Linked DNA regions of Anolis sagrei. The protein of the gene in region 1 interacts with the protein of each later gene in a pairwise test. Links are inferred from orthologs where the notes say so. Each region holds a gene or a part of one and is shown in the gene's direction. Other genes may lie near its edges. The genes, in order: BMAL2, EPAS1, CLOCK and NPAS2.

The links.
Region 2: the proteins of BMAL2 (region 1) and EPAS1 interact in binary tests that used the Homo sapiens proteins (3 or more experiments, as listed by UniProt). The link is inferred for Anolis sagrei from reciprocal best matches to the Homo sapiens genes BMAL2 and EPAS1.
Region 3: the proteins of BMAL2 (region 1) and CLOCK interact in binary tests that used the Homo sapiens proteins (3 or more experiments, as listed by UniProt). The link is inferred for Anolis sagrei from reciprocal best matches to the Homo sapiens genes BMAL2 and CLOCK.
Region 4: the proteins of BMAL2 (region 1) and NPAS2 interact in binary tests that used the Homo sapiens proteins (3 or more experiments, as listed by UniProt). The link is inferred for Anolis sagrei from reciprocal best matches to the Homo sapiens genes BMAL2 and NPAS2.

What each region holds. Positions count from the first base shown.
Region 1 is NC_090025.1:91,982,567-91,989,575, forward strand, and holds the start of BMAL2 (basic helix-loop-helix ARNT-like protein 2), read left to right. Parts: upstream 1-3,985; 5' UTR 3,986-4,422; coding exon 4,423-4,474; intron 4,475-7,009. UniProt on the Homo sapiens protein: Transcriptional activator which forms a core component of the circadian clock.
Region 2 is NC_090021.1:26,973,158-26,981,248, reverse strand, and holds the start of EPAS1 (endothelial PAS domain-containing protein 1), read left to right. Parts: upstream 1-4,988; 5' UTR 4,989-5,511; coding exon 5,512-5,537; intron 5,538-8,091.
Region 3 is NC_090025.1:73,607,831-73,615,561, forward strand, and holds the start of CLOCK (circadian locomoter output cycles protein kaput), read left to right. Parts: upstream 1-4,707; 5' UTR 4,708-4,826; intron 4,827-4,839; exon of another isoform or gene 4,840-5,003; intron 5,004-5,030; exon of another isoform or gene 5,031-5,291; intron 5,292-7,731. UniProt on the Homo sapiens protein: Transcriptional activator which forms a core component of the circadian clock.
Region 4 is NC_090023.1:103,383,851-103,391,061, forward strand, and holds the start of NPAS2 (neuronal PAS domain-containing protein 2), read left to right. Parts: upstream 1-4,196; 5' UTR 4,197-4,602; coding exon 4,603-4,880; intron 4,881-7,211. UniProt on the Homo sapiens protein: Transcriptional activator which forms a core component of the circadian clock.

The sequences.
Region 1 (7,009 bases):
TGTGCCTCTCCCTTAGAATGTTTTCCAATGTCCGTGGCAAGTGGCAACTACTGTTGGGGAAGTGAAAATAAAGGCTTGGAGCCCTGTTCTTTCACCTGCCACAGGTTTGGCCAATTCACTGCCCTCAAGATATGTTGTGCTATGGTTTCCATAATCCCATGGCCAGCTATACTGTGCTGGGTTGTTGTAGGTTTTTCCAGGCTATATGGCCATGTGCTAGAGGCATTTTCTCCTGACGTTTCGCCTGCATCTATGGCAAGCATCCTCAGAGGGAGTGAGGTCTGTTGGAAGTAGGAAAATGGTTTTTTATATCTGTGGAATGACCAGGGTGGGACAAAGGACTTTTGTCTGGAGCTAGGTGTGAATGTTTCAACTGACCATCTTGATTAGCATTTAATGGCTTGGAAGTGCCTGGGGGGAATCTTTTGTTGAGAGTGATTTGATGTGCCTGATTGTTTACTCTCTGTTGTTTTGCTGTTGTAATTTTTGAGTTTTTTTAATACTGGTAGCCAGATTTTGTTCATTTTCATGGTTATTTCCTTTCTGTTGAAATTGTCCACATGCTTGTGGATTTCAGTGGCTTCTCTGTGTAGTCTGACATGGTGGTTGTGAGTGTGGTCCAGCATTTCTGTGTTCTCAAATAATACGCTGTGTCCAGGTTGGTTCGTCAGGTGCTCTGCTATGGCTGATTTCTCTGGTTGAAGTAGTCTGCAGTGCCTTTCATGTTCCTTGATTCGTGTTTGGGCGCTACGTTTGGTGGTCCCTATGTAGACTTCTCCACAGCTGCATGGAATACGGTAGACTCCTGCAGAGGTGAGAGGATCCCTCTTGTCCTTTGCTGAACTTAGCATTCTCAACAAACAAACAAATCACTCTCAACAAAAGATTCCCCCCAGGCACTTCCAAGCCATTAAATGCTAATCAAGGTGGTCAGTTGAAACATTCACACCTAGCTCTAGCAGACAAAAGTCCTTTGTCTCACCCTGGTCATTCCACAGATATATAAACCTATTTTCCTACTTCCAATAGACCTCACTACCTCTGAGGATGCTTGCCATAGATGCAGGCGAAACATCAGGAGAAAATGCCTCTAGAACATGACCATAAAGCCCGGAAAAACCTACAACAACCCAGTGATTCCGGCCATGAAAGCCTTTGATAATACATTATACTGTGCTGTCTGGTGAATCATGAAGGTTGTGGATCGACACATCTAGAAGGCACCAAGGAAAGAGTGCCCTGGTCTGTGAATGTATTTGTGTTGGATATGTTATGACACATAACCAGTTTCAGTATATTGATAATGGTCAGTAACACCAGCTAACGTTTACATAGTGATCCCTAACCGATTGTCAATTTTTTCCTGGATAAAGTGTTCCTTAGAGTAACTGTTCTACAAAAAAGATGGTAGATCCCTCTAGCTATAAAGTAGGGTGGGCGTAATGCAGTCTGTGAACCACATATGGCCTCAAAGCCTTCCATGTATCCCTCAATGCAATCTGGGGGAAATTTCTTCCATTCAAGCGAACGAAAACACCTCAAATTACCCCCACTCTAGCCCCAGAAATACCACAGAATCCAAATACATCAGTTCTCCTCTGTTCACTCAAAATGATTCTATATCACCATTTTCAGAGGACTGCCGGGGTTGCTGTGGGGGTGTTTCTATGGAGATGGGGAGGCTCAGCTTCATACTAGTTGTGTACATCTGCTCAAGCAGTTTGAGGTCATGCTCGAATGCCCTAGTACTAGCAACAGCATCTATGCTGTTTATGAACATCAAGCAAAAGGTGGGCGCTAGAAACAATATCATACGAAAGCTGACTGGCACAACCTGGGGATTACAACCAGACACAGTGAAGACATCTGCCCATGCGCTATGCTACTCTGCTGCTGAGTACGCATGCCCAGTGTGGAACACATCTCACCACGCTAAAACAGTGGATGTGGCTCTTAATGAGACATGCCGCATTATCAAGAGGTGTCTGCGCCCTACACCACTGGAGAAACTACACTGTTTAGCCAGTATTGCACCACCTGACATCCGCCGGGAAGTAGCAGCCAATAGTGAAAGGACCAAGGCAGTGATATCTCTAGCTCATTCCTTGTTTGGGTATCAGCCAGCACATCAACGAATTGAATCAAGAAATAGTTTTCTAAGATCTACAGCAGTGCTTCTCAACCTTCCTAATGCCGTGACCCCTTAATACAGTCCCTCATGTTGTGGTGACCCCTAACCATAATATTGTTTTTGTTGCTACTTCAAAACAGTCATTTTACTACTGTTATAAATCATAATGTAAATATCTGATATGCAGGATGTATTTTCATTCACTGGACCAAACTGGGCAGAAATACCCAATACACCCAAATGTGAATGCTAGTGGGGTTGGGGGAGGATTGATTTTGTAATTTGGGAGTTCTAGTTGCTGGGATTTATAGTTTGCTTATAATCAAAGAGCATTCTGAACTCTACCAGCAATGGATTTGAACCAAACTTGGCTCCCATGGCCAATGGAAAACACTGGAAGGGTTTGATGGGCATTGACCTTGAGCTTGGGAGTTGTAGTTCACCTATATCCAGAGAGTGCTGTGGACTCATGCAATGGTGGATGTGGACCAAACTTGGCATGAATACTCAATATGCCCAAATGTGAACACTGGTGGAGTCTGGGGAAAATAGATCTTGACATTTTGGAGTAGTAGTTGCTGGAATTTATAGTTCATTACAATCAAAGAACATTCTGAACTCCACCAACGATAGAACTGGCTCAAACTTCCCACATGGAATCCCCATGACCATCAGAAAAAACTGTATTTTCTTATGGTCTTTGGCGACCCCTCTGACACCCCCTCGCGACCCCCTCAGGGGTCCCAACCCCCAGGTTGAGAAACACTGATCTACAGAGACACTCGCTGGAACACCCCAGCAAGCGAGAGTCCAAAAGTGGCAGGCTCAAACCCACAACCTCAATCAATGGCTGATACCAAATGAGAGACTCCCCTCCTGGGCACACAGAAAACTGGGCGACTTGGAAGGCGCTGAACAGACTGCGCTCTGGCACCACGAGATGCAGAGCCAATCTTAAGAAATGGGGCTACAGGGTGGAATCCACGGCATGCGAGTGTGGAGAAGAGCAAACCACTGACCACCTGCTGCAATGCAACCTGAGCCCTGCCACATGCACAATGGAGGACCTTCTTGCAGCAACACCGGAAGCACGCCAAGTGGCCAGCTACTGGTCAAAGGACATTTAATCAACTACCAAGCTTGCAAACTTTGTTTTGGCTGATTGTTTTGTTAAAAATGTAATACAAATGTCTGGTTGCTCCTGACACGATAAATAAAATCGACAACAGAGAGTAAACAATCAGGCACATCAATTCACTCTCAACAAGAGATTCCCCCCAGGCGCTTCCTGGCCATTGAATGCAAATCAAGGTGATCAGCTGAAACATTACCCTGGTCATTCCACAGATATATAAACCCATTTTTCCTACTTCCAACAGACCTCAGTACCTCTGAGGATGCTTGCCATAGATGCAGGCGAAACGTCAGGAGAAAAATTGCCTCCAGAACATGGCCATATAGCCCGGAAAAACCTACAACCCAGTGATCCCGGCCATGAAAGCCTTCGACAAAATCGACATTATCTACTCTGAACGGGATTATGTGAGTGTATTGCCATATAATCCACTTCGAAGCAGATTATCATGGATTTTATACAGCTGTGTAAAAGGGGCCTAAGATATTGGTTAGACTACAAGCCCCCCCTCCCTCCCCGACCATCCTGGCGGAGGTATCTGGAACTTGGACGCCCCATCAATGTTTGGCGAAGTAAGCTTGGGAAGGGCCTTTGAAGCAACGCCGCTAATGAAGAGCGTGGGCGCGAGAACCTGAGGCGCAGAGTCAGCGCGCGCTTGCTCCAAGGCGGCGGCGGCGCGCGGCCTCGTATCTGGGTCAGTGGGTGAGGAGGAGGGGCGGAGCTTGGCGCGTCACGGGTCGCGTGCCGCGGGCGCACGTGCCTGCCGAGAGAAGGCAGGGATTGAGGGAGGCGCTCCCCGGGAAGCCTCCCAACATGAAGAAAGCCGCGAGCCTCGACTCCTTCAAGTGTTTGAGAGTTCAGTTCCCAGAATCCTCTCGTCCAAAGCTGAGGCATTCGGAAGGAACTGTTCTACGAAGGGTCCCCGGGTGTGTTCTGGCCAACGCAACTCTCGCGAGATGCCGGGCGCTTCCTCCTCAGCCTGAAGTGTAGCCTCTCACCCGGCCTCCCTCTTTCTTCCCTCCCTCAGGGGCTCGCTTGGCGGCGGCCGCTGCCGGAGCACCTCGTTCTCTCTCTCGCCTGCCCTCCCCATGCCTCTGCGGCGGGCGGCGGGTGGCGGGCCGCGGCTGCTGCTCCTGCTGCCTCTGCGGAGCGGGCCATGGCGGAGGCGGCAGGAGCTGAGGAGGCCAGCGGGAGACCCGGAGCCCCAGGTGAGGCGGCACCTTCCTTCCTTCCTTCCTTCCTTCCTTCCTTCCTTCCTTCCTTCCTTCCTTCCTTGTGTTCTCTATATCTAAATCCACAGCACTGCTGGTCATAGCTGACCTCCAGTTGGAACACTCAAGGACCAGGGTTTCCCAGTTCTCGGTGTCTATGTCACAAGTTTTTAAGGTTAGCTTTAAGCCCCTCTTTAAATATTTTTTCCTGTCCACCAACATTCCTTTTTCCATTCTTGAATTGAGAGTAGAGTAACTGCTTGGGGAGATGTTGATCAGGCATTCGGACAATGTGGCCACTCCAGCGAAATTGATGGAGAAGGATGTGTCCGAGTCTCCAGGGTAGCAGAAAACAAGCCTGCTTCCTCCTCCCTGTGACTTCTCCTCACATATTTATACATGGCCATCAGTGTTCTCTTCTTCAGGCTAAACATGCCCAGCTCTTTAAGCCGCTCCTCATAGGGCTCTTTCTTCAAATCCTTGATCATTTTAGTCGCCCTCCTCTAGACATATTCCAGCTTATCAACATCTCCCTTTAATTGTGGTGCCCAGAATCTGACCGAGGCAGAATAGAGGGGTAGCATGACTTCCTTGGATTTGGACACCACTCCTATTTATACAGGCCAAAATCCCATTGGCTTTTTTTCCTGCCGCATGACATTGTTGGCTCATGTTTAACTTGTCCACGAGGACTCCAAAATCTTTTTCACACATACTGCTGTCGATCCAGGTGTCCCCCATTCTGTTATCTTTGCATTTCGTTTTTTCTGCATTTGTTGAACTTCATTTTGTTAGATTTGGCCCATCTCTCTAATCCAGTGGTTCTCAACCTGTGGGTCCCCAGGTATTTTGGCCTACAACTCCCAGAAATCCCAGCCAGTTTACCAGCTGTTAGGATTTGTGGGAGTTGAAGGCCAAAACATTTGGGGACCCACAGGTTGAGAACCACTGCAATAATTTCTTAGATCGTTTTGAATTCTGCTCCTTCTGGGGTATTGGCTGTCCCTCCCAATTTGGTGTCATCTGCAAACTTGATGCACTCCACTTGTCACTTCTTTCCAGGATGATGAGGAAGCATTGGTGAGCATCCTCTGGGTTCATTCGCTTAACCAATTACAGATCCACCTAACCATAGTTTTGCCTAGCCCACATTTGACTAGTTTGTATGCCAGAAGGTCATGGGGGAAAGGGCTGGCAAAACTACCTCTAAGAACTCTATAAAATTTTATGGGTAACCGTATGTCGGCAGGAAGCTGGAAGAAATACATAGGGCATGTTGATTTGATTTTTTTCCATTATGTATAATTTCATTTTAAATGCTGATATCATTTACCTTTTGACCTATTTTGCGTGCACACCTTAACTGATATTTAAAGTTTTCTGTATGAGCAAAATGTTTTTTTATTCTATCTACACAAGGTTTTTAAAGAATAGGTTTTGTTTTTTGTTTGCATTTTGGGTAACCATGGACCAAAGTACATACATTTTATTTTTTACTATATTATGTCAGATTGATTAAATCATCTTTCTTGTGCTTTAGTATTCCATTCTTTTCCGATATATACTTCAGGTGGTTCATGAAACAATGCTGAAAGGCACATTGTCTTCACACTTCTGAATATGGCTGCTGGTCTTCCAATTTTAGACACAAAGATGAGTCTTTTGTACTCGTCACTTCTGTTTTATTTTGCGTTAGCAAAATTGTGCCGGCAAATTCTGTTTCCCAAAAAAGTAGGTCAGGGTTTGTTTGTGTTTCCTTTGATCCTGTAGTGCTTTCTGACTGGAGCTTTGCTTGCATTAACTTTCAAATTGTAATCTATTATTAAAGAACAAAACCTGGTGTAGGGACATTCTGGAGGGCTGTTTTAGATCTTCCCTTCTGAAAATAGGGAGAGCGCTAGATACAGACCCAAAGGTCAGTAGAGTACAAAAAGTCACTCCCAGTCAATATGGAAATGTACTGTATATGACCTGTTTGTCATTTGATGTGAATACTTCAACATTGGTGTATGGAAGAAGGGAGAATTCCAGTCAAAGAAATGGTCCATGGGCCGTTGCCAACCACGAGTCATTTGTAGCCATTGAACACAAATATGGTACCAGTCATTGGTACATCGAGAGAGAGAGAGAGAGAGAGAGAGCGTGTATGTGATGCTGGCTTCCCACATCAGATAGCTTAAAAGGCAATGTTATAGACAATATCTATGACAAAACTGTATTGTGAGTAAAAGAAATATAATCCCCAATAGAGACACTTTTTTTGTACATCCCAATTTTTAAATATTTGCTTCTTTTAGCTACATGAGCAAGAATTTCCTCTTTATTTAGTCTATGCAATTTGAAGGAAAACCGAAACAGTGATCCATTTTATGGGGTTTTTTAAATCACCGCTTTAGTCCTTTTCACAATCTCCACCGTCGCTTCCTGCTTGTTGGCATATAAAAGGATGGTTTGCAGTGCTCTTGCAAATGATTATATAAAACACATTGGGTTTGATGTAAACCTTTCTCTGTTTTTGTTCAGTTACTAGAG
Region 2 (8,091 bases), on another chromosome or scaffold:
CCTGCCTGTTTTTAGCTTCTTTACATTTCTTATGTATCACCTAAGCGTTTTCTTGCAAAGCACCAGCATTGCCCTTGGGCCTGATTGTTCCTGTTCTCCAGTCCAGTCGACTCTGCTTTGCTTAAACTGTAATTCAAACCTTAGCCGGCATGGCAAGATCTCTTCGTCTTGGGCCAAACTGATAGACCTGGCCTTTGGCCGTGTGCCTCCCATTTAGCTAGTTGAAAGAGTCTTTTTTAACTTGCCGGACTCTGAAGCCTGACTGTTTATCCTAGCATAATCAGATATCGAGAAAGGAGATTTGAATTCAGCTGGTATCAGTGAAGATCCCAAGGGTTCTGTTAATCTAGGGAATGAGTGACCTGGTTCTTTGATCTTGCAATGTTCTTTCTATCATCTGTTAGATAAATGTAGGGATCCTTCATTGCCTGCACATGCATTGTGCTCAACTGAAGTTTCAAATATTTGCAGATTACCATTGTTTATATTCTATTACCCTACAATCAGATTGTTGCTTTGCTGGCATGTTGAACTCGCTTCAGAAGAGAAAGCAGAGGAGATTGGTACAATATGCTCTGGCTTGTTTCTGTTTAACAGGGAGAGCCTGGTCCCCTTCTGCTTATATAGGAAATGTAGAGACGCTGATCAAAAATTGGTTAGTATGGGTCACTTGATGTTTCCTTCTGAGGTTTCCATTTCTCACCCTTTAGTCTTTAGAAATTAAATAAATGCGGATTTGCTCACGGTTTGTAAATTCTATTTTATATGCATTGACTCAGATTTTAAAATGCAGTATATTTCAGTGTAGTGAGGAAGGTACGAATCCAGCCTCAATGCAACTAGAGTAAACCAGCTGACTCCATGGAATACAGTTGTCCCTCCACATCTACGGTTTTGACTGTTATGGATTTGATTAAAAATGTTGGACTCAAGTGTCTTAAGATCACTTTTAGGTATTGTTGATGGGCAAGATTTCTGTGTACCATTTTTGTAGATTTTTTTTAAAAAAAATAGGATTTGGGCTTGTTGTTGTATGGCATCAAGTCATTTCTGACTTCCAGCAACCCTAAAATTATAGGGTTTCTATGGATTCCTGTGGTCAAGTGGGGTTTTGAACACTAGTCTCTCGACCACACTGAAGAATTAATGCAATCTAACACCACTTCAACTACAATGGCTCTATGCTAGGGAATTATGGGAACTTTAATTTTAAAAGGCCTTTAACTTTCTTTGGTGCCTCACCAAACTAGGATTCCATAGAATTGAACCACCTGAGTTAGAATGATGCTTTTTTATCTAATCAGAAGCAACTTGAGAACATACTGCAAGTTGCTTCTGGTGTGAGAGAATTGGCCATCTACAGATGTTGTCCAATGGAGCCTCGGATGTGTTACCATCCTGCTGGAAGGCTTCTCTTATGTCTCCGCAAGCTAGAGCTGACAGATGGGAGTTCACCCCATCTTGCAGATTTGAACCGGCAACCTTCAGGTCAGCAACTCAAACTTCAGGTCAGCAGTCCAGCTGTAACAAGGGTTTAACCAGGCAATGACAAACTTTGGTCCTCTAGGTGTTTTGGACTTCAACTCCTTCAATTCCTAACAGCCTACTTGCTCTCTTAGGAATTTTGGGAGTTGTAGTCTAAAACACCTGGAGGGCCAAAGTTTGCCCATGCCTGGTTAAACCCATTGTGCCATGCTAAACTGCATAAATTCTACAGTATAGTTGCACTCAATGTGGCCACAAAGGCTTTCAGAGGCAAGAATTAAGTAATTAAGATTGACACATTATTCAAATGGTCTAATTTAGTTGGGAGTTAAAGTGTAACGAGGCACCTGCACTCATTGGCATAGGTTTGGACCATGGATATGTACACACATACTTTAAAATTAATTGAAAAATCTTGGGGATTTATTTATTTATTTATTTGCTGTATTTATATACCGCCTTTCTTAGCCCGAAGGTGATGCAAGGCTGTTTATATTCAGCACAATTCAATGCCCCCAAAAACATAAAATACAATTTAAAACAGTAGCATATAAAATATAGATTCATATAAAATCAAAAGCATGTCCTTACTGAAATTATTATGGCTGAGGACACATTTTCCTTCACCCTCGTTGTTTACTATTGGCAACTCACTCAAAAACACCAAGTTGCCAAGCGAGTTTGGCATTCTGAATAATAGCTCAGCCTTAAGGCTAGTCCTGCTTTAATCTCTCTCTCAGTTTTCCAAAGAATTAAGGGAAGTATATAGTACTTAACAGAGAGCCAGCATGGGGTTGTGGTTTGAACATTGGGCTACAACTCTCAGCCTCAGAGGAAAGGAAAGGTAGACTCTCTCTGAACAAATCTTGCCAAGACAACCCTATGAGAGTGGTTTGCCTTAGACTGGAAACAAAGGTAGTGGGTTGTTGTGAGTTTTCCAGACTGTATAGCTATATTCCCAAAGCATTCTCTCTTGATGTTTCGCCCATATCTATGGTAGACATCCTCAGAGATTGTGAGGTCTGTTGGAAACTAGGCAAGTGGGGTTTATGTATCTGTGGAATGTCCAGGGTGAGAGAAAGTACTCTTGTCTGTTTGAGGCAAGTGTGAATGTTGCAATTGGCCACTTTGATTAGCACTGAATAGCTTGGCAGCTTCAAAGCCTGGTTGCTTCCTACCTGGGGTAATCCTTTGTTGGGAGGTTAAATTGGTTAGGATTCTATGAGATATTAATTGAAAAAAAATATAGCAAAATATACTGCAGGATGTCCTGGGGTAATCCTTTGTTGGGAGGTTATCTGGCCCTATGGAGCCCCCGGTGGTGCGGTGCGTTAAACCCCTGTGTCGGCAGGACTGAAGACCAACAGGTCGCAGGTTCAAATCTGGGGAGAGGCGGATGAGTTCCCTCTATCAACTCCAGGTCCTCATGCGGGGACATGAGAGAAGCCTCCCACAAGGATGATAAAAACATCAAATCATCTGGCGTCCCCTGGGCAACGTCCTTGCAGACGGCCAATTATCTCACACCAGAAGCGACTTGAAGTTTCTCAAGTCACTCCTGACACGACAAAAAAAAAACTGGCCCTGATTGTTTCCTGTCTGGAATTCCCCTGTTTTTTGAGTGTTGATCTTTATTTCCTGTCCTGATTTTAGAGTTTTTTTTTTAATAATGATAGCCAGATTTAAAGGTACACAACCTAAAGGTATATAACAACAACGTGCTAAACCCTCACCACAAGGCTAGTCCTCAAATCCACAACTTATCCAAAATAATCTGGGAAGCAATGTGGCTGAGCTGGAGTTTTGCATTTATTATTGTAAATACCCCTTTCTTATTCCAATATAATCTTGAAGTGGCAGAATCTTGACTTCTTTTTAAAATGCTCAATGTACTTTGCAATTTCTTTCCTGCACCTCATATTATCAGACCCGGGGAAAAGTTGCTTCAGCATTGTATGTAACTCCCACTCTGATCATACTGCCTGGGAGATTCTGAAGGGAGTTGCCAATATTTCATTTCATTTTAAATTTTTTCTTCTTCTAGTTTTGCTCTGCCTAACTTTCCAGAGCATTGACCCTGACTGAGTATCCACACTGCAGAATTATTGTATTTTGACACCACTTTTACTCCCAAACCTTCTACAAAATCCTGGAATTTGTAGTTAGTTCAACCTAGTTCAAAGCAGATATTGTGGGATTTTCTGCCTGGATATTCTGGGTTATATGACTGTGTGAAAGGGCCCTTAGTGAGACACCAGCCCTCTTGACCAGTGAAATAGCAATACTTAAAAAAAACATATCATAGGATCCTATATAGGGTGTGATAGGTATGGGCCCTTCAAGTGGTGCCAAACCCTGCAGTATAGAGTGCATTTGCACTGTAGAATGAATGCAGTTTGACATCACTTGAACTGACCTGGCTAAAAGCTATGGAATTATGGGACTTGTAGTCTGGTAAGGCACAGGACTTTTTGGCAGAGAAGGCTAAAGACCTCCTAAAACTACTGTACAGCATCAGTGATTCCTAGCACGGAGCCAGGGTAGTTAAAATGACTTAAAATTGCATTTATTCTACTGTATAGATGCACCAAAACACTTGTTGATCTCTAAGGCACTGCAAGATTTATTTGCAACTGAATTTAGCTATACTTTGTGTTTCCCTGTCAGTCTCTTTGGGGGGGGGAGGGGGGTGCTGCTGCTGCTATAAAACTCCAACTCCAGTGATTCTGTGGCCATGAATCAGCTCAAATGGAAGTCAAACTGCATTTATTCTGCAGCGTTGATGCACTATGACCCTCTTTTAATTTCTAAAGTGCTGCAAGATGCCTTTTGTCACTGTGTCTAAGGCGTTCTTGGCATTTTCCCTGCCGGTTGTTAGGAATGGTGGGAGTGGAAGTCCAAAACACTTGGCGGGCTGACGTTTGCCCGTGCCACTGCCTACTGTAGAGGCACCCTAGGTCCGGGCCTTTTTCCCCCGGGGGTGGGGGTCTCTGCTCCGGAGTGTGTGGTAGAGGAACCTTCTTTGGAAGCTTTTAAACAGAGGCTGGATGGCCATCTGCCGGGGGTGCTTTGAATGTAATTTTCCTGCTTCTTGGCAGGAGATTGGACTAGATGGCCCATGAGGTCTCTTTCAACTCTATGATTCTATGATGCTATAATGTGGGACTTTCTGCCTTGATATTCTGGTATATAGCGCTGTGTGGAAGGGCCCTAAGGCGCCCTTGGCGTTTCCCCTGCTGGCTGTTAGGAATGGTGGGAGTTGAAGTCCAAAACGCCTGGAGAGATGAAGTTTGCCCGTGCCACTGCCTACTGTAGAGGCACCCTAGGTCTGAACCTTTTTCCCCCCGGGAGTGGGGGGTCTGACCCATCCGGCTGTGCCTCCTTCGGCCCCTCCCTCGCTTTGACTTGCGATCAACAAGTGCTGCCAAGTGGCTGGAGGCGGGTCCGGAGGCGTGGGCTTTGCCCGCCCCTTGGAGGCAGCGCCCTCGGCGGCCTCTCCAGCTGGAAGAAGCGCCGCCTGAGGCTCCAGCCTGCCTCTGTCCTCCTGGCCGGTCGGCAGAGCCTTCCCAGGGCGACCCGTCCTCCCTTTCCTCCTCCTCCTCCTCCGTACATATACCCAGCGCCAAAGGAGGAGCGGCAGAAGCAGCCAGGAGCAGTGGCGGCGGGGAGCCGCGGCGCCCTTGCCTCCTCCCTCTCTCTCTCTCTCTCCCCTGAGCGGGCTGTACAATCCTCGGCAGTGTCCTGAGACTGTATGGTCAACTCAGGGGCGGCTCGACGGCCTCCTCCTCTTCCTCTTCCACCCCCGCCAAGCCCAGGAAAGGCAACCCACCCGACGGCAAGCGCGCAAAGAGCGCAACCCATCTCTTCTCCAAAGTGGTCTCCAAGCTTGGCGCGCGCGCTTTCTCTCTCTCTCGTGCGCCCTGACATCTTCCTCCCCAAGGATCCCGACGGACAGAAAGCCCCTTCCTCTCGGGGATACAGCGTGAGAGCATCCCAGCAAGCAAGCAGGAACCCCCGCTTCCCAGGATGACAGCCGAGAAGGAAAAGAAGAGGTAAGGGAGGAGGAAAAGAGAGCCAGGGACATCTTTGCGGGGACAAAGTTCTCGCGCCAGTTCTTTGAAAGCAAGGAAGCTCTTCCGCTGGTTGGATTCAGGAGGGACCTCTCCTTTTGCATCTCTTTCCTAACTCTTCCCAGTCCTTTGGAGCCAGGGAGGTTGAAGTGGGGCTGGATCTCTCTTTCCCCAATCCCAAATGGTCCAACAATGGTGCCTTGTTTGGCTCTACTTCAAGTCCTTTCCCTCTGCGTTCTGCTCCACTCACTTCTCTGAAGCGCCCAGGCTCGGGTCCATCTCTACAGTAGAATAGATGCAGTGTGACACCCCTTGAACTACCAAGGCGCAATGCTAAGGGAGCCTAGCAGTTGTGTTTCCCCAAGGTCTTTAGCCTTCTCTGCCAAATAGAAGTGGTGGTTCAATAAACTGCAACTCCCCAGATTCCAGTAGCACTAAGCTGCGTCAAACTGCACCCATTCTACAGGGTAGATCAGGCCTGGGCAAACCTGTGCCTTCCAGATGTTTTTGGACTTCAACTCCCAACATTCCTGAGGCCCATAAGCGGCTGAAGGGGGAAAGGAAGGAGGCCGAGGCTGTTAGGAATGGTGGGAGTTGAAGTCCAAAACACCCAGAGGGCCCAAGTTTGCCCATGCCTAGTGTAGCTGCCTGAACACTAGGAATTATTTAACTCGAACTGGATCTTGCATTCCAATATCTCAAATAGAGTGAGAAATGTCAGATCTTGGTGCTGTCCTTGCTGTGGCATATTTCGTGATCTAGAATCATAGAATTGGAAGAGACCTCAAGGGCCATCCAGTCCAACCCCTTGCCAAGAAGCAGGAAAATTGCATTCAGGGCACCCCCGACAGATGGCCATCCAGCTTCTGTTTAAAAGCTTCCAAAGAAGGAGCCTCTACCACACTCCGGGGGGAGGGAGTTCCACTGCTGAACAGCTCTCACAGTCAGGAAGTTCTTCTTGATGTCTCTTTTCTTGTCGTTTGAAGCCATTGTTCTGCATCCTAGTCTCCAGGGCAGCAGAAAACAAGTTCACTCCCTATGACTTCCCCTCACATATTTATACATGGCTATCATGTCTCCTCTCAGCCTTCTCTTCTTCAGGCTAAACATGCCCAGCTCTTTAAGCCACTCCTCATAGGGCTTGTTCTCCAGACCCTTGATCATTTTAGTCACCCTCCTCTGGACACATTCCTGTTTGTCAATATCTCTCTTGAATTGTGGTGCCCAGAATTGGACACAATATTCCAGGTGTGGTCTAACCAAGGCGGAATAGAGGGGTAGCATGACTTCTAGACACTCTACTCCTATTGATGCAGGACAAAATCCCACTGGCACTTTTTTTTTTTGCCTTCTTTAGCCTTCTCTGCTGAAGAGGGCTGGTGGTTCAACAAACTGCAACTCCCCCAAATTCCAATAGCACCAAGCGGCTTCAAACTGCATCCATTCTATGGTGTAGATCAGGCCTGGGCAAACTTGTGCCCTCCAGGAGTTTTTGGACTTCAACTCCCACCATTCCTGACAGCCTCAGGCCCACAAGCAGCTGAGGGGGGAAAAGAAGGGGGCTGAGGCTGTTAGGAATGTTGGGAGTTGAAGTCCAAAATACCTGGAGGGCCCATGCCTGGTGTAAGTGCACACTTGGACTGCTTTAATTTGAACTGGATCTTGCATTCCAACATCTCAAATAGAGTGAGAAATGTCAGATCTTGGTGCTGTCCCTGCTGTGGCATATTTGGTGACCTGTGGACTTTCAAAAAGTTTACTTCCACTTCTTGTTTGACTCAGGGCCCTTCCACACAGCCTTATATCCCAGAATATCAAGGCAGAAAATCCTACAATATCTGCTTTGAACTGGGTTATCTGAGTCCACACTCAGATAATGTGGGATTTCCTCCCTTGATATTCTGGGATATAGGGCTATGTGGAAGGGCCCTGACACTCTCTGCAATGCAACCCTGAAAGCCAACTAATAATCAATGTATTGTCGAAGGCTTTCATGGCTGGAATCACTGGGTTGTTGTAGGTTTTTTGAGCTATATGGCCATGTTCTAGAAGCATTCTCTCCTGACGTTTCGCCTGCATCTATGGCAAGCATCCTCAGAAGTTGTGAGACCTCACAACCTCTGAGGATGCTTGCCATAGATGCAGGCGAAACGTCAGGAGAGAATGCTTCTAGAACGTGGCCATATAGCCCAAAAAACCTACAACAACCCAACTAATAATCCCTTGCAAGAAGATTCAGTCCTTTAAGGATGTCCTCACTTTTAATCTCCAACAAAGTGTGGAAGGGCACTTCCGAACAGGATTGTATCATTTTCTTATAGTAGAATGAAGGTGGATGATGGGAAGGCAGCATCCAGTGTTAGATAAGAAGAGGGTACTCACACATTACATTGAATATGCATGTCAGTGCATAGTTTTGGTTGTTTTCTTGGCAATATGCATTCCAGTGTGTGTGTGTGTTTGTGTGATTGTTTTCATGAGGCTGAGAAAGTGTGACTTGACCAAGGTCACACAGTGGATTTCCATCGCCATGTGG
Region 3 (7,731 bases), about 18 Mb from region 1:
CCCCTGCTCTATGTGATGTTATGATTTGTTATAGATAAGAGTCTAGAGTTGCTGATTTTATCAGTTCCTGAGGAAGGGGATTGCTTTCACCGAAACAGGGTACAAAAATACCCGGGAACCCCTGTTGAATGCCATTTGGACCTTTCCTTTGAAGACTTATTTTGAGAAGCAGTGGTCCATTCTCACTGGACTTGATTTGGATTTTTTCCATGAAGATTGTTTTGAGAGTGGTGCTCCATCTTCATTATTGTCTTCAGTCTACATATAGCCTCATGACTCAATGCTTACTTTGTTTATATGATTTTTCTTATTGAATGTATCCCTGAAGCCTATATACAGTGGAATCCTTATCCAGACCTAGAACTGTTACGTTTGAGAGCGGCTCCTCCTCTTGATTTTGCTGTGTGCCACTGAATTGAGCTATGTACTGGGGATTTTGGTAAATGGAATACTATATGCTCTTTTGATAATACACTTTGACATTATCCATAGATTGTTTTGTGTTTGTGCTGCTTCCAGCTGAAACTTCAGAATAACCAACTCTTGGAAAAATTACCCTATGTAACAAAACTTTTGTTCCTGGGTTATAAATGCAATTTTCTAATTGGTTCTGTCATGGGAAAATGTATTAAACTGCAAAAACTTTGTTTTGTGAGACATTCTACAGCACATTTTGCTATAGTTTTTCAATGAATATCTCATTGAGTCTCAACCAATTCAACCTAGTTTGTGGCAGCCACAAGGTTTCTGGAGTAGAACAACTACTTTCAAAGTAGGTACGACACAATTAAACAGAAATAACACTTTCAAACCAGGAACATTTTTTTAAAAAAATTGTTAGATAGTGTTATTATGACTTCAGCTCCCACAATCCTCCACTCATTCTGGCAGGGATGCGTAGACCAACTGGCTTAAACTCTGAGGATATGTCAGTTAATCTTGTTTCTTGGCATTCTGTGCTCAATTGCATCCTCAGTAGTAACTCAGTGATGAGATAATGGGTTTCTAGGGAATTATGTTGTTTCAGGGATTTTTCTTACGTCCATCAGTCATAACATGGATGGGATGAAGGATTGATGAGTATCATATGGGTTGATGTCACTTCCTATATATCAGCAAAAAGAATAGACACCTGTGTAACACAGGGAGGAATGCAAGCATCTATCAGTGATTTGATTTATAATAGACATGCAAAGTAATAGCTATATCTCAGTTGCCCCAATAGCTCATAAACTGTGAGAGAAGTACTATTCTATAGGATGTCCCAAGTCTCCCTTCATAAGGAAAATTGCAGCTAAATATGCCCTTATTTACAAAATTTTCACTACAAATTTTATAAAATATTGACAACATACTCTCTGCATGTTGTATATCTGAAAGTATACAAACATATAAGCATATACATATATAATATAATATATTTATTTTTAATTAAATATATTATTATATTATATTAATTTAATTTAATTTTTCCAATGTATGGAGACTTTTGGGATGCCCTGTATATTCAATTATGACAGACTTTATTGTTGTAACGACATTAGGCAAATTCCCTTTGAAATCAATTGGTATTTCCCAGCTGCATTCTGATCTCTAACCTTCTGATAAAACATTACATTTGTAGTTTTTTCCACATCAGTCTAGAGGTGGACTACCATGAGCACTGACCAGCATAGCCGGTGGAAAGGGATGGTAGAAGGTATCTGGAATATTTGAAGGGCTTTCCATTTTGTGCTTCATGCCATAGGTGAAGGAAGGGTGGGCTCCTAATGTTGTTGCACTACACCTCCTATCATTCCTGAACACTGGTCAAATTATTACGTTGGATGAGATTTGCAGGCCAATATCAACTGAGCACTCACTTTCACTCTATTTCACAGTATTTTGTTGCAAATATTTAAAGACAACGTTTTTCTACTGAATAGCATATTCATTTTATACATGTTTATATAGTCCAATAAATTCTATGTGAAGCTCCTTAAGAAAATAAGATAATACATACCCAGGCTTAAATAATTCTTAAGCCATGTGTGTGGCCAGGCTTAAAAGTTCTACAAGGAATAAAATATTTACATTTTGAAACAAGGCCTAATGTTTGAACGTGTTGCATTATGCATGCTTAATTTCTTAGGCTTTGCTGATTCTTCACATAAATGAATGAATGCTGGAAAAAAACATCGTTCTAGAGCAGTGACATCTGTTTTGTGGGAAATCATAGGAGTGTCATTCAAAATAAAATACAAAACATGTATTCAGGACAGCCAAAGCATGCCTTCTTGTGTAAGAGAGTCTATTGTGAAGCTACCATCTTTGAATTCAGCAATAAACCATGTCTGCTTTAGGCTTTTAATATTTTTAAAAAGTTTCACAATCATAATTACTGCGAAAATATTTTCTATGAACTAAAGATACAAGTAGGGGGCAAGGAGATTCAATGGCATATCTAGCATTTTTGATACCCAGAGTGGATCATTTAAGACACCCCTTTCTCTATTGCATCTATCTATTTATCTATCTATCGCATGGAATGAAACACATAAAAACATAAACAAATGCAGACAGTGAAATGAACTGTTATTGAACTTTACAAATACAATCAAATCTGTATAAATGAATGAATGTGATATATATAAATATATATATGTTAGATAAATATAATATAATTTATATTACATAAAACCCTGTCCGAATGCATCCCCCCTATGAACCATCATGATTAAGATCCTCTGGGGAGGCTCTGTTCTCCGTCCCGCCATTGTCACAGGCGCTACTGGTCACAGGGCCTTCTCGGTGATTGCTCCCTGGCTCAGCATACTCAGCACTTTTTAATCTGTGCCCAGTACATTTGCCCGGCCTAGTTTTATTGTGTCAAGGTGTGCTGTTTTTACCGTTTACTGTTATTGCTTTAATGTTTTTGATTTGCTTTTGGTTTATATGTAATTAGGTTCTTGTGGGTTTTTTCAGGCTATAGGGCCATGTTCTAGAGGCATTTTGGGCCCTACAGCCCGAAAAAAAAACCCACAAGAACCTAGTGATTCCAGCCATGAAAGCCTTCGACATTATATGTAATTGTTATATTGTTGTTTTATTGTGGCCTTGGCCTTTGTAAGCCGCATAGAGTCCTTCGGGAGATGCTAGAGTGGTACAAATAAAGTTAATAATAATAATACTAATAATAATGAGTCCCCTTCGGGGTGGGAAGGCTGGAATCAGATATTTATGTATTTATCATGTCAGAAGCAAACCAAGGGTACAGTTGTAGTGTATTTAAAAACACAAAGGGCGGATTCCAACAAACAAAAGTCAAACATTCAATGCCTTGACAAGAGCATAAATGCAAATACAAGTACAGTACCAACCTGACCAAGTCCTAAAATAAACCAGCATCCACATAAATTGACATCTATATCTACAAAATAAACCAACATCTATATATATATATATATATATATATATATATATATATATATAAATGCTCTGTGCATAATGAGTACCTTAAAAACAAAAGAACCAATGAACACACAAAATTTGGCAACAAAATGTCTCACAACACAAGGAGTGACCATCACTCAAAAAATTATGGTTTTGTCATTTGGGAGTTGTAGTTGCTGGGATTTATAGTTCACCTACAATCAAAGAGCATTCTGAACTCCAACAACGATGAAATTGAACCACACTTGGCACACAGAACTCCCGTGATCAACAGAAAATATTGGAAGGGTTTGATGGGCATTGACCTTGAGTTTGGGAATTGTAGTTCACCTACATCCAGAGAGCACTGTGGACTCAAACAATGATGGATCTGGCCCAAACCTGGTACAAGCACTCAATATGCCCAAATATGAACACAGATGGAGTTTGGGGGAAATAGACCTTGACATTTGGGATTTGTAGTCACTGGGATTCACAGTTCACCTACAATCAAAGAGCATTCTGAACCCCACGAACAACAGAATCGGGGCAAACTTCCCACACTGAACCCCCATGACCAACAGAAAATACTTAAGGCCATCCAATCCAACTCCCTTCACCAGGGCAAAAAAACGTAATCAAAGTCCTAATGACAAAGAGCCATCCAGCCATAGATATAGATAGATTGATAGATATGATTAACACAGAGAGATATAGTATCATAGATTTGAAAGGGACCTTTAAAGAAGGACAATATGTTGCATGTTCCAGGGTGGGCAAACCAGACACTCTCCACATCAACACTGACAAAGAAACAGCAAGAAATACTGTTTACCCACAAGCATAAAGAAATTACATATATTAGAAACCAGCACTTTCTCATTACTTTATTTTTGAGTTCAACAGATTGGGCCACAGCAACGCGTGGCAGGGGACAGCTAGTCTATTCATAAAGTTGTGGATCAGAAGCACTCCTTTCAAATCCTGACAAAAGAGGAAAAGGAAGCCCTAAACCATGGAACAAAACCTGGGAGGATTTCCCTTTGAGTGGCCAAACCTCCCCTCCCTCCCTGCTCCCTCCCCTCCAACCCACTCTCACTCTCCAGCGAGGTAATCTAAGGTCAGGCAAGAACAGCGTGTTCTTTCGCGACGCATGCGCAACACACCCCTCGGGGCGGCTCCGGCGGCGCATGCGCGGAGCAACCACCACCTCCCTCTCCTCCCCGCCCGCCACTTTTGACGAAGAAGGGGAATCACCATTTACCCCCGCGTTGGAGTATGACGCCACTGCGCATGCTCGGCGGCGGCCAGGGAAACACAAGGAGGGCTTCGTTGCGGTTTGTCCCTCAAGGAAGTGACGCATGCGCAGTACGGCTTCTCCGAGCTTGGCGGCTGCTACTGCTGCTGTTTTGCCGGTAAACTCGAGGGTGGCGCATGCGCGGTGCAGCCGAAGGCAATTTCACCTCCCCCCCCCTCCTTCCACAGGCCTGGTGGTTGTTACCATCGGAAAAGGGAGAGGCGAAACCATTTGCTCGGCGAAAGCGGGGGGAGTCGGCTGAAGAGGATGAAGAGCGCGAGACGCGACTGAGGCAGTAAGGAGGGTGGGGGCCGTGGCCTCGCTGAGGGAGAAGGGGCTGTGTGTGTTGAGGCGGTGAAGGGGCTCTGAGGTAAACTTTGACCTGAGGGACGGGATTTCATAACGGAGACCGAGGGCGGAGAGGGAGGAGGAGGAGGCCTGCCCGTGCCTTCCCTCTCGGTGGCAGCCTGCCTGCCTGACTGCCTGGGCGGCAATGAAGGATCCCGAAGGTCTCCCGAAATTGAGGCACCCCGAACGAGGGCGGTGGGCTTGGCAGCTCCTCATTGACATGCTGTCAGTGCAGGTAAGGAGGGATGCCCTTCTTGTTCCCCCCTTGTGAGGGAATCCAGGGCATTGGATCTGCCAGAAGAGCGCCAGGAATATCCATTCCTTCGCTTATTTATACGCAAATCCACTGCTTATTTACTCTCAGTCTATTCCCGCCAACACACACTTTGGCCCCTTCCACACAGCTGAATAAAATCCCACATTTTCTGCTTCGAACTGGGATATATGGCAGTGTGGACTCAGGGCCCTTCCACACAGCCCTATATCCCAGAATATCAAGGCAGAAAATCCCACTTTAAACTGGCTTATCTGAGTCCACACTCAAATAATGTGGGATCGCCTGCCTTGATAGTCAGAGATATAGGACTGTGTGGAAGGGCCCCCAGATAACTCAGTTCAAAGCATATAAATATAACTACTGAAGCACAATATGGGTGAGGGAGCAGAAGGGAAGGGGAAGCAGGGTAAAAACATCCAATGCATCTTCCCTTCTGCTCCCTCACCCATATTGTGCTTCAGTAGTTATATTTATATTTTTAATGTACCAAACATACCAAGTTTGTATGAAAATGTGACTATTTCCTGTGCTGGTCAATGACCAAAATAAATGATTTGATTTGATTTGATTCAAAGCATAAAATGTGGGAGTTTCTGCCTTGATATGCTGGGTTACATGGCTCTATGGAAGAGCCCTAAAAATGCCTCAAATCTTCGACCTCTTTCTGAGTCTGACTTGCTGATTCCCAAAATTACAACGCCCTGTTTACATTGGCGAGATTGGTGGGGATGGGGGAGAGGGCCTTCTTGGTGGTGGCCCCCCGACTCTGGAACTCACTCCCCAAGGACATCAGACATGCCCCAACCCTGGCAGTCTTTAGGTTGTTGTTGTTCATTCGTTCAGTCGTCTCCGACTCTTCGTGACCTCATGGACCAGCCCACGCCAGAGCTCCCTGTCGGCCGTCACCACCCCCAGCTCCTTCAAGGTCAGTCCAGTCATTTCAAGGATGCCATCCATCCATCTTGCCCTTGGTCGGCCCCTCTTCCTTTTGCCTTCCACTTTCCCCAGCATAATTGTCTTCTCTAGGCTTTGCTGTCTCCTCATGATGTGGCCAAAGTACTTCAACTTTGTCTCTAGTATCCTTCCCTCCAGTGGAGCTTGAAAAGGTGGTTGTTCCAGTGTGCCTTCCCAGAATAAGGAAAACTCTCAGCAATATGCCCTCAAATGCACTTTACCACAGATTTAGGACTGACTGTGGTTCCCTCATCTCTCTTTGAAAACCCTATACCAGTTATATCCTACCTTGTTCATGCCCAGTGTTGTTGTTTTTTTTATTATTTTAAACTATTACATTTGGCCTGGCCATAGGTTTTTACATGCTTGTGTGTTATGGTTTGTTGTTTATGTGATTTATATTAATTGTATTGTATTGACTGTTTTTGTTATTGCTTTTGTTTATTGATATACTGGGGGCTTGGCCTCATGTAAGCCACACCGAGTCCCTTGGGGAGATGGTAGCGGGGTATAAATAAAGTTTTATTATGATTATTTATTACATTGCCGTATACTAATCGGATTATAAAAGCAGATCATCTAAATTATCTGCTCTGAACTGGATTATCTGAGGGCGCTTCCACACAGCCATATAACTCCAGAATATCAAGGCCGATAACCCATATTATCTGCTTTGGATTATCTGAGGGCCTTTCCACACAGCTATATAACCCCAGAATATCAAGGGCGATAATCCACAATATCTGCTTTGAACTGGATTATATGAGGGCCCTTCCACACAGCCATATTTTCCCAGATAATCAAGGCTGACAATCCACAATATCTTCTTTGAACTGGATTATATGAGGGCTCTTCCACACAGCCATATAACCCCAGAATATCAAGGCTGATAATCCACAATATTTGCTTTGAACTGGATTATATAAATCCCTACAGCCATATAATCCAGTTTAGTGTGGATTTTGTACAACTGTGTGGAAGGGGGCTGAGTCCTCACTGTCATATAAACTAGTTCAAAGCAGATAATCTGGATTTTATATGACAGTGTAGAAAGGCCCTGAGAAACTAGATGCTGTCTATCCAATGCAATTTTCTGAATCAGCACCTCAAATAACCCCAGGAACAGGCTTAAAATATGTTGTTTATTGCAATCAAAGGGTCCTTTACACAGTCATATATAACCCAGAATAACATAGAAGAAAAGTTGCTACTCTGGGGGTCCTAGAAGTATACCATCCCCCCCCCCCCATCTCTTCCCCTTCACATTTTTTCTTTTCTTTTTTTTCTCTTCCTCTCCCCCCACCCCCACTTCCTACTTTCTATATCACATTATTCCCACTGTAACCATGTTACCTTTTTCTTAAATGGTCAAAAGCAAGTATTTCACTATGCTCTACTTTCTTGAGAACAACTTTTATTCTCAGTAAAAACAATTGAAAAAAGA
Region 4 (7,211 bases), on another chromosome or scaffold:
ATAGCCCGAAAAAATCTACAACAACCCATGAAAGCCTTCGACAATACAATCCTATACACACTTGAAATATACACACATACACAACAGGAATTATTCCACAGCAGACATTCTCTAAATCAAGGGAAGAAAAAGATTCAGCAAAATGTGATTTGGAAGCCATGGTGTAATTCACAAGTAGCTTCTGGACAAGTGAAGAAAGCTTAGTAAAGGGAAACCAAAGTGGGAGCACTGAGGCAATGATTCAGCTCCTCCCTGCCACTTCCAACTGCAGTTATAGCTCACAAACTCTGGACCCTCATTCTGCCTGCTTACATGGTCCGGGAGCATCTTCATGCAAAACAGAAAATCCAATTAATATTGCAGAAGGTTTGGAGATGTGGCCTCTTTTTTGTGTGTGTGGGAGAAAATCATGCTGGAAGCATCGCAAACGATGTTTCCCTCTTATATAAGACACTTCTGAAAGTTTCTGGTGTAATATGAAAAGACCAGAAACATTTTCTATTCCCTTTCTTGCCTTTTATTTGCAGACATAGAAATGCTAATATCTAACCGTTCAATATGTTAAAACTATGTTTGCATTCCATATACAGTACCTGTCTTGCATGGGAATTTTACCTGCAGCCAGAGGCAAACAGGCTTGCAGAAAGCAGCATGCAGGAGGGGAAGGTGATCGTTTTGCCCCATAGTTTGATCCTAATGAAAGCTGTCACAGACACACACCATTTGCTATTTTCTACAAGAAGGAATTGGTTGTTGATGTCATTTACTGCTTCTCTTCCATGGCAAATAGAAGCTTTTTTATTGGGGGGTGGGGTTCTATTGTGATCTCAGCATTGACAGGTAACCCTCCATGGACCTATATGTGCATATATATGTTTAAAAACCCAAATAAATCAAATGTGATTATTTTCAATGTTACATTTAGAAACTTAGGATTAAGAATTAGTGCCATTTGACACCACTTTAAGTGCCCAAAACACTATGGAATCTTGGTAGTTTTACAAGGTCTGTAGCCTTGTATGTCAAGTTGTCTGTTGCCTTATCAAATTACAACACCCATGATTCCACAGGACTGAGCCATGAATTAATTCCGCAGTGTAGATGCATCTTGGTCACCTATTAACTATACGGAATGGAATGGAGGTCTTTGTATTACACCTATATGTAATGAATCTGAGTTTACAGGTGTTTTTGAATCTGCATCTTTGTATACTATCTGTTTACCTCAGTTTCCAAGGTGCCTAACAAAAAGAAGCAAGATGTTCAACAGGGACCAATACAAGATACTCCACTCAGGCAGAAAAAAATGATATGCAAAGATACAGAATGAGGGACACCTGACTCGACAGCAGTACATATGAAAAAAAGCTTGAAGTCCTCATGGATGGACAAGTTCAACATGAGCCAATAATGTCATGTGGCAGCAAAAAAAAAATCCAATGGGATTTTGGCCTGCATAAATAGAAGTCTAGTGTCTAGATCCAGGGAAGTCATGCTACCCTATTCTGCCTTGGTAAGACCATACCTGAAATACTGTGTCCAATTCTAGGCACCACAATTGAAAGGAGATGTTGACAAGCTGGAATGTGTCCAGAGGGGGGTGACTAAAATGATCAAGGAGAACAAGACATATGAACAAGCGGCTCAAAGAGCTGGGCATGTTTAGCCTGAAGAAGAGAAGGCTGAGAGGAGACATGATGAGGGCCATGTATAAATATGTGAGAGGAAGCCACAGGGAGGAGGGAGCAAGCTTGTTTTCTGCTGCCCTGGAAACTAGGACGTGGAACAATGGCTTAAACTACAAGAAAGGAGATTCCATCTGAACATGAGGAAGAACTTCCTGACTGTGAGAGCCATTCAGCAGTGGAACTCTCTGCCCTGGAGTGTGGTGGAGGCTCCTTCTATGGAGGCTTTTAAACAGAGGCTGGATGGCCATCTGTCGGGGGTGCTTTTATTGCGATTTTCCTGCTTCTTGGCAGAGGGTTGGACTGGATGGCCCACGAGGTCTCTTCCAATTCTATGATTCTAAGAAAAACTTAGTGAGCTTGAGGGTAATATTATAACATTAATTCTTCAAACTCCTTCAACTCAAGTCAGATTCCATGGTCTTGGATGTGGAGACAGACATTGCACCTGGAGAAACTTCAGCCCATATGTTATGTGGGCTTCTCTGCTGAGATGTAAGGCAGAGAATTAACTTCATTCTCAATTTAGCTTTCATATGTTGAGTTCTGAGGCACTTTTGTGTGTGTGTGCCTTCAAACTGCCTTGTGCATATGTGCCTTCAGAGATGGTTTGCCATTCCTTCTGAAATACAGCTGTCAGGATCCAGCACAGTCTTCTTTGGAGGTCCCCTGGCCAAGGACTAAGCCATGACAGTTAAAGTATTTTGTTTTGTTTTTTACGTCAGGAGTGGCTTGCAGTTTATCGCTTCTGGTGTGAGAGAATTGTCTGTCTGCAAGGACGTTGCCCAGGGGACACCTGGATGTTTCGATGTGTTACCATCCTGTGGGAGGCTTTTCTCATGTCCCAGTTAAAGTGATGTCAAAACTATATTGATTCTATGGTGTACATGCATCCTCTGTTTGGCACTAAAATTATAAAACAGGTGTGCAGACTTCAGTTGGGGGCGCTTTCCTTGTGGATGGCCCTTGTGGTCTCTTCCAACTCTTATGTTTCAATGGTTCTACTTAATAAACATTAAAAAGTCATTCTGGAACCAAATTTCAAATCTTTCAAAACTGTGTCTTGGAGCACTTTGAATTTTTAAACACATACATACTGTGAACATTTTAAAAAATCTGACAGGCAGACATTTATATTTAGAAACAAATGCCCGTCTAAGCAGTTTAGACTCCAGAAAGTGTCCTCTGCACCTGCCTGGAAAGGGAACACAGGTTTCCAACCAGGAGGCATCTACACTGTGGAATTAAGGCAGTTTGACACCACTTTTAGCTGCCATGTCTCAATGCCATGAAAGCCTGGCAGTTCCTAACTGCATAAACAGGAGTATTGTGTCTAGATCCAGGGGAGTCATGCTACCCCTCAATTCTGCTTTGGTAAGACCACACCTGGAATCACACTGTGTCCAATTCTGGGCATCACAATTTAAGGGAGATGTTGACAAGCTGGAATGTGTCCAAAGGAGGGTGACTGGCTTAAAAGCAGTACATGTGAAAAAGATCTTGGAGTCCTCATGGACAACAAGTTAAACGAGCAAAAAATGTGATGCGGTGGCAAAAAAAGCCAACGGGATTTTGGCCTGCATCAATAGGAGTATAGTGTCTAGATCCATCTATTCTGCCTTGGAATACTGTGTCCAATTCTGGGCACCACAACTGAAAGAAGTTGACAAGCTGGAATTTGTGCAGAGGAGGGCAACTAAAAGGATCAAGGGTCTGGAGAACAAATCCTATGAGGAGCAGCTTAAAGAGCTGGGCATGTTTAGCCTGAAGAAGAGAAGGCTGAGAGGAGACATGATAACCATGTATAAATATGTGAGGGAAAGTCATAGGGAGGAGGGAGCAAGAAATGGCTTCAAACTGCAAGAAAAGAGATTCCATCTGAACATGAGGAAGAACTTCCTGACTGTGCAAGCTGTTCAGCAGTGGAACTCTCTGCCCCGGAGTGTAGTGTTGGCTCCTTCTTTGGAGGCTTAAACAGAGGCTGGATGACCATCTGTCGGGAATGCTTTGAATGCCATTTTCCTGCTTCTTGGCAGGGGGTTGGACTGGATGGCCCATGAGGTCTCTTCCAACTCTGTGATTCTAGTTTTACAAGGTCTTTAACCTTCTTTGCCAAAGGGTGCTGGTATCAAAATGCCCTCATTCTCCACTATAGATGCACCCAAGGTCTGAGGACAGCGGGCTCAACCAAAGTCCTGAACTCCCTGGGTGAACTCTGTCTCCTGCAAGTGTGCGTTGCCCGTGTGCGCTGCCTTCTTGCCGACGGCTCTCCGGGCACACCTCGGAAGGGCTCGCTCGGATCTCAAGGCCGGCCCCAAATTCCTCTTCTCCTTCGTGTGGAATCCGCCCCCGCCTCCTCCTCCTCCTGGGAAGGAAGGGGAAGGTCAGGTCTGTTTGGCAAAATAATATGTAGGTCAGTGGAGCGCTTCCTGCCCTTGTGCAAAAACAAGAGGCGGGAGAGAAAGAGAGGGAGAGGCCGCGCGCTCTTTTTCCCGCGCAGCTGCCTTTGGTTCTCCTCCTCCTCCTCCTCCCCACGCGCCAAAAAAGAAGCCGAAAGAGCCCACCCTTCAGCCCACCTTCTCTCGGGAAGGGAGGAGGAGGAGGAGGGCGCGCGAAGGAAGCGCCTTGCCTCCCTGACCCCATTTCGCAGCTCCCTCTTGGCCGGGAGCCTCCTCAACCCAGAGAGCGAGAGAGAGAGCCCCACGCAGAGAGCATGTCGTGAGGGAAGCTTCCTCCGTGGCTCGAAGAGGATGCCCCCTCCTCCGCAGACCCCGGGGCAGCAGCCACTTTGGAGGCGAAGGGCCCCCGCGGTCTTCGTCGCAACTTAATGCCCGGCCCCGGCTCCGCTCTCCCTTCCCGCCAGAGCTGAGGAGGGAAGGGAGCGGGCAGCGTCCGGCATGCGGGGCTCCCTCACACCATGAGAGACCGGCGGCGGAGTGGCGGAAGCAGCAGCAGCAAAAAAGAAGGCGCCTCGGAGCCCCCCGTGCCTTTGAAGAGGGAGAACTCGGCCAGCCGGCAGCGCGAGTGGGAGACCCAGGGCGGCGGGAGTCCGCGCGCGCAAGTGGCCACCGCGGATAGCAGCAGCAGCAGCGGGTGCAGCAACATCAGCATTAGCAGCAGCACTCCCGCCGCCCCGCTTTGGCCTCGCGCCCTGGCCGCGCGCGCGCCCCTCTGCCCTCCCGCCAGGCTCCTCAGGTAAGCCAGCCCCGCGCGCGCCTGGCACAGTGACACACTTCAGCCTCCTCCTTCTCCTCCTTCCTCTGCCCGCGCTAGGGGGCGCCCTCGCCACCGCTCCCACGGGTGGCCCAGGTTCACCTCCCCGCACTCTTCGCTTCTCTGGGTCCTTCCACACAGCCATCTAACACAGAATATCAAGGCAGGAAATCCCACAATCTCTGCTTTGAATTGGAATATATGGCAGGGTGGACTCAGATCACCCAGTTCAAAGCAGATACCTATTGTGGGATTTTCTGCCTGGACATTCTGGGTTATATGGCTGTGTGGAAGGGCCCTCTGAAGAGAGAGGTCACCAAAAGGGTTAGAAAAGGCTGTCTTAGGAGGAGGCCCCTTCCACACTCTGGATTATATGCCAGTGTGGACTCAGCCAACCCTGTTCAAAGCAGATATTGTGGGTTAGTAAAGGGAAAGGTTTTCCCGTGAACAGACGTGGCCCTAGGTAATTTTCAATGGTAAGCAAACAGTATTTTGGTCCCCGCCCAACCAATCACTGATATATATTTTCTGTTCGTGTGGGAGTTCTATGTGCTATATTTGGTTCAATTCCATCATTGGTGGAGTTCAGAATGCGCTTTGGTTGTAGGTGAACTATACATCCCAGTAACTACAACTCGCATATGTCAAGGTCTATTTTCCCCCAGGAGCACCCCAAGAGCCCCCCTGGGCAAAATCAACTATACTGCAAATGCTTACTTTGCGTAATGGGTTGAGCCACCCCTGCCTGTGAAGTCCAGTCATGTCTGATTCTAGGGGGTTGGTGCTCATCTCCATTTCTAAGCTGAAGAGTTGTCTGTAGATGCCTCCAAGGTCATGTGGCAAGTATGACTACATGGAGCGCCTTTACCTTCCTGCCACAGTGGTACCTATTGATCTCACATTTGCATGTTTTCAAACTGCTAGGTTGGCAGAATCTGGAAGCTCATGCCACTACCCTGATTCGAACCTGCAACCTTTCAGTCAAGAAGCTCAGCAGCTCAGTTGTTTAACCCACTCTGCCACCAGGGGCTCCCAATTGTGGATCATCTGCTTTGATATTCTTGGATATAGGGCTGTGTGGAAGAGCCCTTAGGCCCCCTCCACACAGCTGTATCAGGTCCACTGGATTATATGGCAGTGTGGACTCAGCCAGCCCAGGGCCCTTCGACACAGCCCTATATCCCAGAATATCAAAGCAGAAAATCCCACATTATCTGCTTTGAATTGGGTTATCTGAGTCCACACAGATAATGAGGGATTTTCTGCCTTGATATTGTGGGTTATAGGGCTGTGTGGAAGGGTCCCCAGTTCAAAGCAGATATTGTGGATTTTCTGCCTTGATATTTTGAGTTATATGGCTGTGTGGAAGGGCCCTCTGAAGAGAGAGGTCACCAAAAGGTGGAGAAAAGGTTGGCTTAGGCCCCCTACACACAGCTGTATCAAAACAACTGGATTATATGGCAGTGTGGACTCAGCTAACTCAGGTCCCTTCCACAGAGACATATTACTCAGAATATCAAGGCAGAAATTTTCACAATATCTGCTGTCTGTGAACTGGGTTATCTGAGTCCATACTGCCACATATTCCAGATCCGAGCAGATAATGTGGGATTTTATTCGACTGTGTGGAAGGGGCCCCATTCAAAGCAGATATTGTGGATTTTCTGCCTTGATATTCTGGGTTATATGGCTGTGTGGAGGGGCCCTTTGTTGCAACATAACACATAGTTTCCAGCAGAACACAATAGACGTGACCTGCGTATCAGTATAGCAGTGGTTCCCAACCATTGGTCCTCCAGGTGTTTTGGACTTCAGTTCCCACAGTTCTTAACAGCTGGAATCTGGCTGGGAATTCTGGGAGTTCAAGTCCTAAACTACTGGAGGACCAAAGTCTGGAAACCACTATTGTACAGCATCACTCCTCAGAGCACTAGTCCCTGGACTAAGCCTGGAACCACTGCTTCTGACCTGTGGTCAATTGTTAGGAAAGAGTTAGGAGATAGGACACAAGTCCCATTTTCCCACACCACAGAGCCTGAGAAGTAGGTGCTTGTGTTGCCTGCTGCTGCCGAAAAGTATGGCAAGCCTAAAGTGACACCATCACAGGGTTTTCTGGGGCAGAGAGTATGTGACGTGCCCAAAGTCACTCAGCAGATTTCCAGGGCTGAGTGGGGGTTCAAAGGCTAGTCTCCTGGCCCCTTCCACACAGCTGTATAAAATCCCACAGTATCTACTTTGAACTGGGTTATATGGCAGTGTGGACTCGGGGCCCTTTCGTATCAAGGCAGAAAATCCCACAAAATCTGCTTTGAA